Linked DNA regions of Neodiprion lecontei. The protein of the gene in region 1 purifies or fractionates together with the protein of each later gene. This does not show direct contact. Links are inferred from orthologs where the notes say so. Each region holds a gene or a part of one and is shown on either strand. Other genes may lie near its edges.

Evidence for each region.
Region 2: the proteins of GTP-binding protein 128up (region 1) and N-terminal Xaa-Pro-Lys N-methyltransferase 1 purify together in Homo sapiens (affinity purification with mass spectrometry; 3 studies listed by BioGRID and IntAct, counting the BioPlex papers as one, with this or other methods). This does not show direct contact. The link is inferred for Neodiprion lecontei from reciprocal best matches to the Homo sapiens genes DRG1 and NTMT1.

What each region holds. Positions count from the first base shown.
Region 1 is NC_060261.1:2,392,063-2,397,231, reverse strand, and holds GTP-binding protein 128up, read right to left. Parts: upstream 3,464-5,169; 5' UTR 3,276-3,463; coding exon 3,234-3,275; intron 3,136-3,233; coding exon 2,970-3,135; intron 2,908-2,969; coding exon 2,777-2,907; intron 2,679-2,776; coding exon 2,439-2,678; intron 2,327-2,438; coding exon 2,158-2,326; intron 2,050-2,157; coding exon 1,920-2,049; intron 1,841-1,919; coding exon 1,718-1,840; intron 1,634-1,717; coding exon 1,531-1,633; 3' UTR 793-1,530; downstream 1-792. Other genes in the region: centrosomal protein of 131 kDa, read left to right, coding at 1-102, 171-342, 428-591, 651-789; uncharacterized protein DDB_G0272682, read left to right, coding at 5,090-5,107. UniProt on the Homo sapiens protein: Catalyzes the conversion of GTP to GDP through hydrolysis of the gamma-phosphate bond in GTP. Appears to have an intrinsic GTPase activity that is stimulated by ZC3H15/DFRP1 binding likely by increasing the affinity for the potassium ions.
Region 2 is NC_060261.1:34,123,750-34,128,092, reverse strand, and holds N-terminal Xaa-Pro-Lys N-methyltransferase 1, read left to right. Parts: upstream 1-1,903; 5' UTR 1,904-2,027; coding exon 2,028-2,195; intron 2,196-2,402; coding exon 2,403-2,589; intron 2,590-2,668; coding exon 2,669-2,777; exon of another isoform or gene 2,778-2,899; coding exon 2,900-3,155; 3' UTR 3,156-3,445; downstream 3,446-4,343. Other genes in the region: probable pre-mRNA-splicing factor ATP-dependent RNA helicase mog-4, read right to left, coding at 144-439, 525-727, 802-1,043, 1,126-1,294, 1,388-1,556; heparin sulfate O-sulfotransferase, read right to left, coding at 3,446-3,657, 3,840-3,997, 4,120-4,217, 4,299-4,343. UniProt on the Homo sapiens protein: Distributive alpha-N-methyltransferase that methylates the N-terminus of target proteins containing the N-terminal motif [Ala/Gly/Pro/Ser]-Pro-Lys when the initiator Met is cleaved.

The DNA.
Region 1 (5,169 bases):
TCGAGAGCGTGACAGACAAATAGAACTGGCTATTGAAAGGCTCGAGAAGGAAACTCTTGACATGAAAACTAGTCTTCAGCAAAGTTCGGAAAACCGGCTCAGGTACTAAATGTGCCCATTCATACACGTTGATTGTTACCCACTTTAAATAACTTTTAAAATTGTTCAAGATGTATGAAAGAAAAATATGAGGCAGAGCTACAAGACTTGAATAACAGCAAAGAATTGCTGACAAGTAAAGTGACCTCCGTGCAGGAACGCCTCACAGAGACTACGACGCAGCTTCAAATAACTGAGGGAAAACTTCAGCAGTGTATGATCCAGCTAAGTAATTCTAAACAGGTATGAGGTGTAATGTTATTGTCGAAATCAGTTGTGGAATATGATAAGCACTCAATACAAACAATTCTTATTCGTTCTCAACAAGAGCGTAGATCAATTGACGATTGAGAGAGACGATGCAAAGAAGATTGTTAGGAAGGAAATTGAGATGGAAAAACGAGAACTGGAGAATAAAATAGCCTCTCTTCACCGCGAACTTACTGAAAATAATTCTAATAGAGATGTTCAAATGGCTCAACTTTATAGCAGGTAAGGAATAGTTAATTCTATCGACTTTATCCGATATTCATTCATGTTCATTGTTGTAGGGTCAAGTTAATAGTAACGCAAAAGGATCTGGCAATAGGGAAATTCGCCAAAGAGATTGATGAAGCAAAGAAGAGATGCGATCATCTGGAAAAATTATTAGATCAACAGAGGAAGGATTACATACTTCAGTCTTTATAGATATTAAGTGTAAATAAATATGTTTTAATTTTAACCCTCGCACATCACTGCGCTACAGGTTTAAGTTGTTTTAAATGTAAGTTTTTTCGTAACAAGCATTTCTCAGTCTAGGCAAGCACCCAATCCTACGCGATATTTTGAATTAACTGCATTTGAAACACGCCTATTTAACACAGACATTGCAGGAAATATACCTTCGTTGTTTATAACTGTATTATCTGTAATATAAGTTTATACTTCGACAATTTCTTATTTTTTAAATGCGTTTACAATAAGCTACATACTACACAATAATTTCAAGAGTCGAACTGAGAAATTGTGGAGAAAAATGCAGATGTAGGCTTTAATTTTTAGTACCAGCCCATATTTATTTAACGCTCTTCATCACTGAAAACAATGACACAGTAAGAATTTGTACGCTTTAGAGAAAAAAAATTCTGTTACGGTTTTCATAAAATAGATATATATACATATGTGTATATATATATGCGTGGATCTTGTTTAATGCATGTTTGTGTGATAAATTATTTTGTGAAAATAATAAAAAAAATTGTAATTTCCATCAGATAGTCCATCTCACGTTGAACCCATTTATGATCAACGAGATGTTCCGAAAGGTGACAAACTCTAGAAGGAAATAATCGGAAAATAGTCTAATCAAAGTGGACCTATCGTTTCTTACAGATCCGTAATTATGTCTTCAGCACGTTGGTAGTCACGAAATGTTTCCACTTTTTAAAATCACACTCTCTTAACAACTTGTACAACATCTTCATCACATAAGATATGATCTTTTCCAACTTTTTGAGGCTGGTGCTTTACCGATGAGCCCCAAACAAGCGCGCTGAAATATTAAATATATTATGGTTAATTGTCTTCGACTTAGAGAAAATGCGGAGATTAGAAAAAGACAACCAATGAAACTGACTATTTGAACTCTTTAGCAATGGAACGATGCAGTTTGTTGCAAAAATCCTCGACTGATCTTCGCTCGATGTTCAATACAACTGGCGAGTTGTAATCAGGAAGCTGGCCTTTTGGTTTTGTATAACTGTAAATATTACAATAATAACACAGTCATTTTTAAAATTCACTTATAGGACTATAATAAATTTGCTACACATACGTACATTCTCACAAGTTGCAAGTACTCCCACATTTTTTCAAGTAAATCATCAAAATTCCATTTATGGTGGGCAGAGATTGGTACACAGTGTGGTATTTTGTAAATAACGTCCAACTCCTCGATACTAATTTGATCTGTGGGGGGGGGGAAACAGTATAATGATCATAATTGAATAACAATGTAACAACAGTGATCCATTCTCAGCTTTTCTCGACAACTCGACATTTATGATAGTTAATTACCTATTTTGTTGAGAAGGTAAATGCAGGGTACATAGACACGATTACCCTCAATAACATCAATAAGATCATCCGAAGTAGCGTCGTAGCGGAGAGTTATGTCCGCATTGTGAATCCTGTACTCTGAGAGGATAGATTTTACGGTGTCTAAATCGAGTTCGGATTGTACGCACTGTTGAACACAAGATTTTTTTTTTTGTTAAATTTAAACAAATTCAACAGCTACCACGCTGTACATAAATCCAAGAAAAATTAGCTAACTGAAACCAATTCACAATTCTCACCATGGTTTGTAGATTGATTCCACCCTTATCTTTTTTTCTGAAAGTAATATTTGGAGGTTGCTTATTCAGCCGCAGACCGAATCCCTCGAGTTCATGTTCAATGAGCTTCTTGTGACCAAGAGGCTTGAGAACATCTAATACAATAAATATAAGGCTGCATGTACGTGCAACTGCGATAACCTGTCTTCCTCGACCCTTGCCATCTTTAGCACCTTCGATAATACCAGGAAGATCTAGAAGCTGGAATGTAAAATTCATGACATATTTATCGTTTTGTTTGGTTCGTATTACCAGATAGGATAATTTTAAGAATTCCGGACTCTCTATCAATTGCAAACCTGAATTTTAGCTCCTTTGTACTTGATGCAACCAGGGACGGTAGTGAGGGTAGTGAATTCATATGCAGCTACCTCGGAATAAACACCGGCAAGAGTGCTGAGCAAGGTTGATTTGCCAACGGATGGAAATCCTGTTGTAACGCAAGACGGGATGTTATCGAATGCAGTTAATCAGAGTGCTTTCAATATTTACCGACAAACCCAATTCTAGCGTCACCGGTTTTGGCTACTTCGAAACCCTGTTCTCCGCCTCCACCGCCTCCCTTGGGGGTGATCAGTTCTCTTCTAAGTTTGGCTAGCTTTGCCTTAAGAAGACCCAAGTGGCCGGACGTCGCCTTGTTTTTTTGGGTCCGAGCCATCTGAGAATCGAGGTTTCATGTTATTAGAGGATGTCGAGTGATTTGAATGGGTATGCGGACACCGAAGCTGTTCAAAAATTAACGCATTTATAGGTTACCTCAGCCTCGATCGAGGCGATCTTTTCCAATATAGTGCTCATCTTGTATTGGTTTTAAGGGTAGTTTCCTGGCTTCAATTGTACTCTCAAGGCACTCTGCAACCTCTTCCGAAATACATTACGCGGCGAACGTTGCCACCGTTCTTTATTCAACACGTGTACTGGTACATGCCTTTAACCGCGAACGGAACGAGATAGACGTTGCTGCAAAAAGGTTAACAGATGAAAAAAAAATAGAAATATTCAACTTCTGATCATAGACTAAGAATTACTTGGATTTACTCAAGTCCGTCATCCTCATTGTAGATTGTAGCCATCGGGCTTGTACACCATAGACTTACAAGATAATACAGACAGACTATGCCATCTGTGCAGCTAGCTGAAGCCGTAATTAGAAAGAGAGAGCAACAGCTGAAGATGGTCCTCTCCTCCAACCATGGGTCTGACGATTGCAGAAGTGGCTAACTATGTGGAAACACCACAGATAGCGCTTCAGTTTTCCAAGTTGGGCGCCATTTTGCATTTAAATGGCGCGGCGCGCGTCGCTGGCGAAGTCTTACGAGGGCGTTCGAATCGTGGTTCGAACTTTCCCGTGGGTTGACCGGCGAGTGGGCGAGTATAGGCGTTGAAAAATCGGAATACGAGAGAGCGCGCGACTGGGCGTGCGGCAGGCAGGGGTGGGCGCGAGTGGGAGCGAGCGGGCGAGTTTAATGCGTAAGACGAGAAGGATACTCGGTAAGGGTAGACGTAGGCTGTTTAAGGGTAGGCAGGTATTCAGGGAGGCGAGTGCGAGTCGAATAATATAAGCGAATACGAGTAGGAAAGAAGAAGAAGAGGAAACCTTCGCCGGGCGCGAGGCAAGTGAGTGGGAGGAATATAGCGAGGGCGAAGAGGGCAAGGTGGGTGCAGAGGGCGAGGGTGAGGGTGTCCGTACGTACACGGAGAGAGAATCGATCTAAAACTAGGAGTCGCCGCAGTAACCGCTGGGAGGAAGCCACTGTTACAATTTGGCCCATATGCGTTAGTGAAATCTTAGATCGGGTAATTGTAAGATACCTAGTAGGATGAGGGATTTCCTGGTAGATGTAGTTTCCAAGGGACCCGTTTGTTAGGGTCCGTTGTTTAGACCGCCTCTACCCGGCATCTCCGAGAACCGCGCGATCAGAATGCTGCAGCGTTCGGTCCGCTACTTCTTTTAAATAAGTGCTTGTGGGACGGTCCCGTACCTGCAGGGATATGACGTAATGGCAAGAGAGGTATGGCAAAATCTTTTTTATTCATATATCTCAAGATTGTGCACACGAGTCTTCCCCTGTACCATCCCTGCATGCGCGCCCCTTCCATTCGTTCGTTGGGTGCACTATACATCAATTTTATCATCCTCCCGTGACATTACTGATTTTCAATAACATTCGCAACTCCCTTATTTGTAATATCGTTTTTATTCTCCCAGGGATTCAAACCCCGTCCCCTTGTCACCCTTGTCGTGGAACGCTGATACGTGTTTGCAGTGGCGAGATTATTTTCCTCCCTACACACCCGTGACCTACTTCCCTGGGAGTTGACCCCGTGCAGTCGTTCAACGTACGCGGTCCTCTTCATTCTTACTTTGATCTCTCGCGGAGACCTCGTTATCATTTTACTTCGAGTGTACATACTTTTTGAATTTTTAATTATCGCATCCATAGCTCACGTCTCGTATAATCGTTTATCGTGTCGTACCGTACCGTTATTTGATCCCTTAATAACAATTTATCACCATCGAACAGAAGTAATCCATTTATATCCACAACGATTTAAGCGTTATTGTAACGTTAGATTCCGATATCGATCGATAGTTATTTTAATCTATATTAATGCGAATGCCAGCAGAGGTGAGCCGAGAAAATCTACAATTATACTTATAGCTCTTACATTTCATTCATTATTTTTCGAG
Region 2 (4,343 bases), about 32 Mb from region 1:
ATAGGTATATGGATCTATATAATGACTTTTTGCTGTCAAACATGGATCTATGCAATAAATTAAACTGACTGTACAATTTCTTGAAGTAGAAATTAGGTTTTATTATTTTGAAAAAAGTTAAGCATACACTTAAGGACAAATACCTGTAAGTAGCAAGATCTGGTTCACTAAGGAACTCACGATGTAAAGTTCCGTCAGTCATGTATTTGATACGGGTACGCTGAGAAGTACAGTCTTCAAATCGAATAGCATATCCAACTTCGTTTCCTAATTTAACAGCCATTTCATGTGCAACTCTTGCGGCAACAGACATTGCAGCAACTCTTCTGGGCTGAGTGCAGCCTATGACTTTACTGTCATCAGCAAAACCAGCCTGATATAAATACTGTGGAATCTGAGTTGTTTTGCCAGAACCAGTTTCGCCCTCAATAATTAACACCTGTTCAGACATAACATAAATCTTACAGTAAAAAAAGTACAAGGCAAATGAATGAGAGTAACGTAATACAGATATCAAATTTCACCTGATGATCCCTGATAGCCTGTATCAAGTCATTTTTAAAAGGATATATAGGAAGACTTTTCTGTGTCTCTTCAATGGTAGTTAAAACTTTCATTTCCTTCGGAGGAGAAACAGCTTGTTTCTTATGCTTGGAGCTTCCTGGTATCTGCAGCGCCTGGACAAACTCTACTTCATCTTCCAGCAACAGATCATAATCCTGTTTAGCTGTAAAAAATTAAATATTCCTTAAAAATTATAAATAAGCAAATCTTACTGATAATTGTGAGAAGAATTATTACCTTTTCTATCTTTTGCCCCAAAACGAAATACTGCTGATGACATCTGGTCCGACTCCCATTTGCTTTGCTCAGATTGCGGTGGTTCTGGGTCAACAGTTTCAGGCTCAACAGCATCTTTGCCTCGTTCATGAGGCATGTGATACCTTTGCACCCGTTCCATTTCACGCGCCTTCTCATGCTCTTTGGCAAGCTGAAGTAGCTGCTTTTTATGTTCTCGTTCCCTCTTTTCGCGCTCAGTCAGGCTGTTAAATGAATTTGATTTATAATTTTGAAAATCAATACTTCAATCCAACCAGAAAAGTATTCTACTCCTGTAAAACTCACATCTCATCTCCAAAGAGATATTCATCGTCTAATATGTCAGCCTCGAGCTCAGCTACCTTATCTTCCTTTCGTTTCTCTAAATACTTCCTCCGCGATTCGACGCGAAGTTTAGGAATAAGCTTATCACGAGATTGAGTTTCCATAACCTTAAGTCTCTTGGCTGCTTCCGCTGCAAATTTGATAATATTAAGTGTATGAATGTCACCACTAAGTGATTGTATAAAGCTGATAAAACAACTTAGGACATTTTGCCTAAACTTACCAGCCCCGGATCCAGCTGGTGTAGCAACCTTGCGCACCTTCGTATCATCTTTGGACTTGAGACGTTTGGCAAATTCATCCCTTTCCTTAATATCCCTTTTGCGCCTCTCCTCTTCGCTGTCACTGTCACTGTCTTCTGGCGACGATTGCTTCCTCCTATACTTGCTCATTTTCTGTTTCTAAAATCCTCAACGACTCATCTAGGCTAAGTCCTGAATTATATCACAACGGTTAGTAACTGAAATGAAGGTTGAAGCAGATTATTAAATTTCGATGTTATCGCTGGACAACAGATGAATACTCACTAACAGTTCTGGTAAATGTATGAAAACTGTTTAACGTGCGTATTTTACGGGACCGGGAATGATAATACGATTGTTAAACAACAAACCACGATACAAAAAAACCTGACCACTAATTTGAAATAGTTTGAAATCAGCCATAAAAATCGTGTTTGAGATGCACACACATTCGGGTAAATAAGTTTGCCTTTTGGAACGGTCGAGGAAAACAATAATAATCATAATAAAGTCACAATATAAAAATTGAATAACCCGGGTACATTTTAAAATTACACAATGAAAGTGATGTGTATAACAAATTAGAAAAAGTGCTCAAATCTTAAAAATATCAATTTAGTAATGGATGATATTCAGAAAAATGACAAAAGGACTGAAAATTTTTATTCCGACGCTGCCAACTACTGGTCTAAAGTCCCAGCCACAGAGGATGGAATGTTAGGAGGATTTGGGTTCATTTCGAACACAGATATCGAAGGGTCGGAATTATTTCTAAGATCAGCCTTCAAGGTACGGTATTCAGTCAAATTTACACAAAATTGTGTTTCATAAATATTTTATTGATGCTCGCCACATTGATGCCGAGATACCTAGGAACGTAACCTCAAAATTCAAACCCACATGTGCTTTCGTATAATTTTGGAATCCATCTGAAGGCTGATTCCAAAAATATATTTTGATCTATATTCTGTGATTTCCATATAACGCACGTTTCAGTTAAAAAATCCTCCGAGAAAAGAATATGCTTTAGACTGTGGTTCTGGGATTGGCAGAATATCAAAACATCTACTTACCAAACACTTCAAAAAAGTTGATTTGGTTGAGCAAAATTCCGAGTTTCTAGAAGCAGCAAAAACTTACCTCGCTGGTCGTACAAAAAGAGTTGGGGAATTTTTTCCCATAGGTATGAAAGTAAAAGCCTGAGAATCTTAAATAATTTACATATAATACATGTAATACTTTACAGGATATTACTCTTACAGGTCTGCAAAACTTTTGTCCTGAAGTAGGGAAGTATGATGTCATATGGTGTCAATGGGTTTTAGGACATCTACAAGATAACGATTTTATAAAATTTTTCAGCCACTGTCAGTTAGTAACATTTGCTATTCATATTTTGTTTCAGTATTGTAATTTACAGTGGAAATGAGAATTTACCGTATAATTTACAATGTAAAATAGTAATCTGTAACTTTGTAAAATATATTCAACAGGGCAGGACTCAAAGAGAATGGCGTGGTAATAGTAAAAGAAAATATAACAAGTTCTGAAAACGTTGAAGTTGATACACAGGATTCCTCAGTAACACGCCCACTGAAGGAATTACAACGTTTATTCGATCTGGCTGGATTTTCTTCTGTAAAGGAACAAAAACAATCCAGACTTCCACGAGGTCTTTATCCTGTTTATATGTTCATATTACGACCTAGAAAAATCATACGGAATTCTGTGAGCAATGTACTACAGTAGAAATAAATAGTTCACAATTATCACATAGATCAGTTTAATTCCGACATTGCACACAACAATAAATATATATATATGATGATTGTTAATATTTAATTCTTTGATATGAATGAAATTGTAAAGAAAAACAAGAAAGACCACTTGAAAACCATACACAAGAATAATTTTTAAAAATTTTAACACTTTTTAATTCAATAAAGTTTATACTCAACTGGTTTAATTTTTTCAGATACAAAGTGTCGATTCACTAAATAAAAATATTTCAATACTCTTAAATTTACCATAGTTTAATTTCATTTTGGTCTGATTTTTTCATACATGAAGTGTTGATTCGCTTCCTGCGGCGTTGAGTTTATAACACGCTTTTTTACTGCGTGAAAATGAGCCAAAACATGCATGTATAAATCATTCTCCATCTGCCATACTTGCGAATTTTGAATTTTCTTCACAGTTTCTGGGAGAGGGTCAATTTTTTGGGTAGTTTGTCGTAAGTGGGACTTGCTATCTGAAAAAATTAATTGATTTGAGATTTTTTTAAATTATCACAAACTGTAGTTGCGTTATATTGTAAAGACATTGCCAGTGGATAAAAGTAGTAGACTAGAAAAATTATTAAAAATTTGATTGAATTTTAAAACATGCTATGCTTTACTATTATCAATCCTTAATATCTAACACGTGTCTTACTATGCATAAAGTGATCATAGGCTCCTTTGAAAAATCGTGGTAGTGTAGCCTGAAGAGTTTGTACAAATTCTGGTAATTCTTCTGTGACTCCAACTAGGAGGTAGTGTTTTTCTACATTTCTTTTAGCTTCTGCAACTGCCCATGGATTACCGACTTCCCTTTAATCAATTAAATCATTACATTCAACTAAATATACGTTTGTGATTATAAAAGATAAGAAATTGCACAATAATTCTCAGTCAATTGATTTCCAAGCATATTAAGTGTAAAAACTTCATACCAACAAGCAGGTTCGTGTCCACAGAGGAACGGAACTTGAAGCCACATATTGTTTGGATCACAGTCAGGTTGTCCATGTCTGACGCACTCGTCGAATGTCTGTAAGATGTAAGGTATGTTATCTTCACAAAGGATAATCTTACAAGGAAGAAAGAAGCGGAATATGCTAATTGATAATACCTTGGTGTCGCCATGCTTTTTTCTTATTAAGTGTGGTCGGAAATT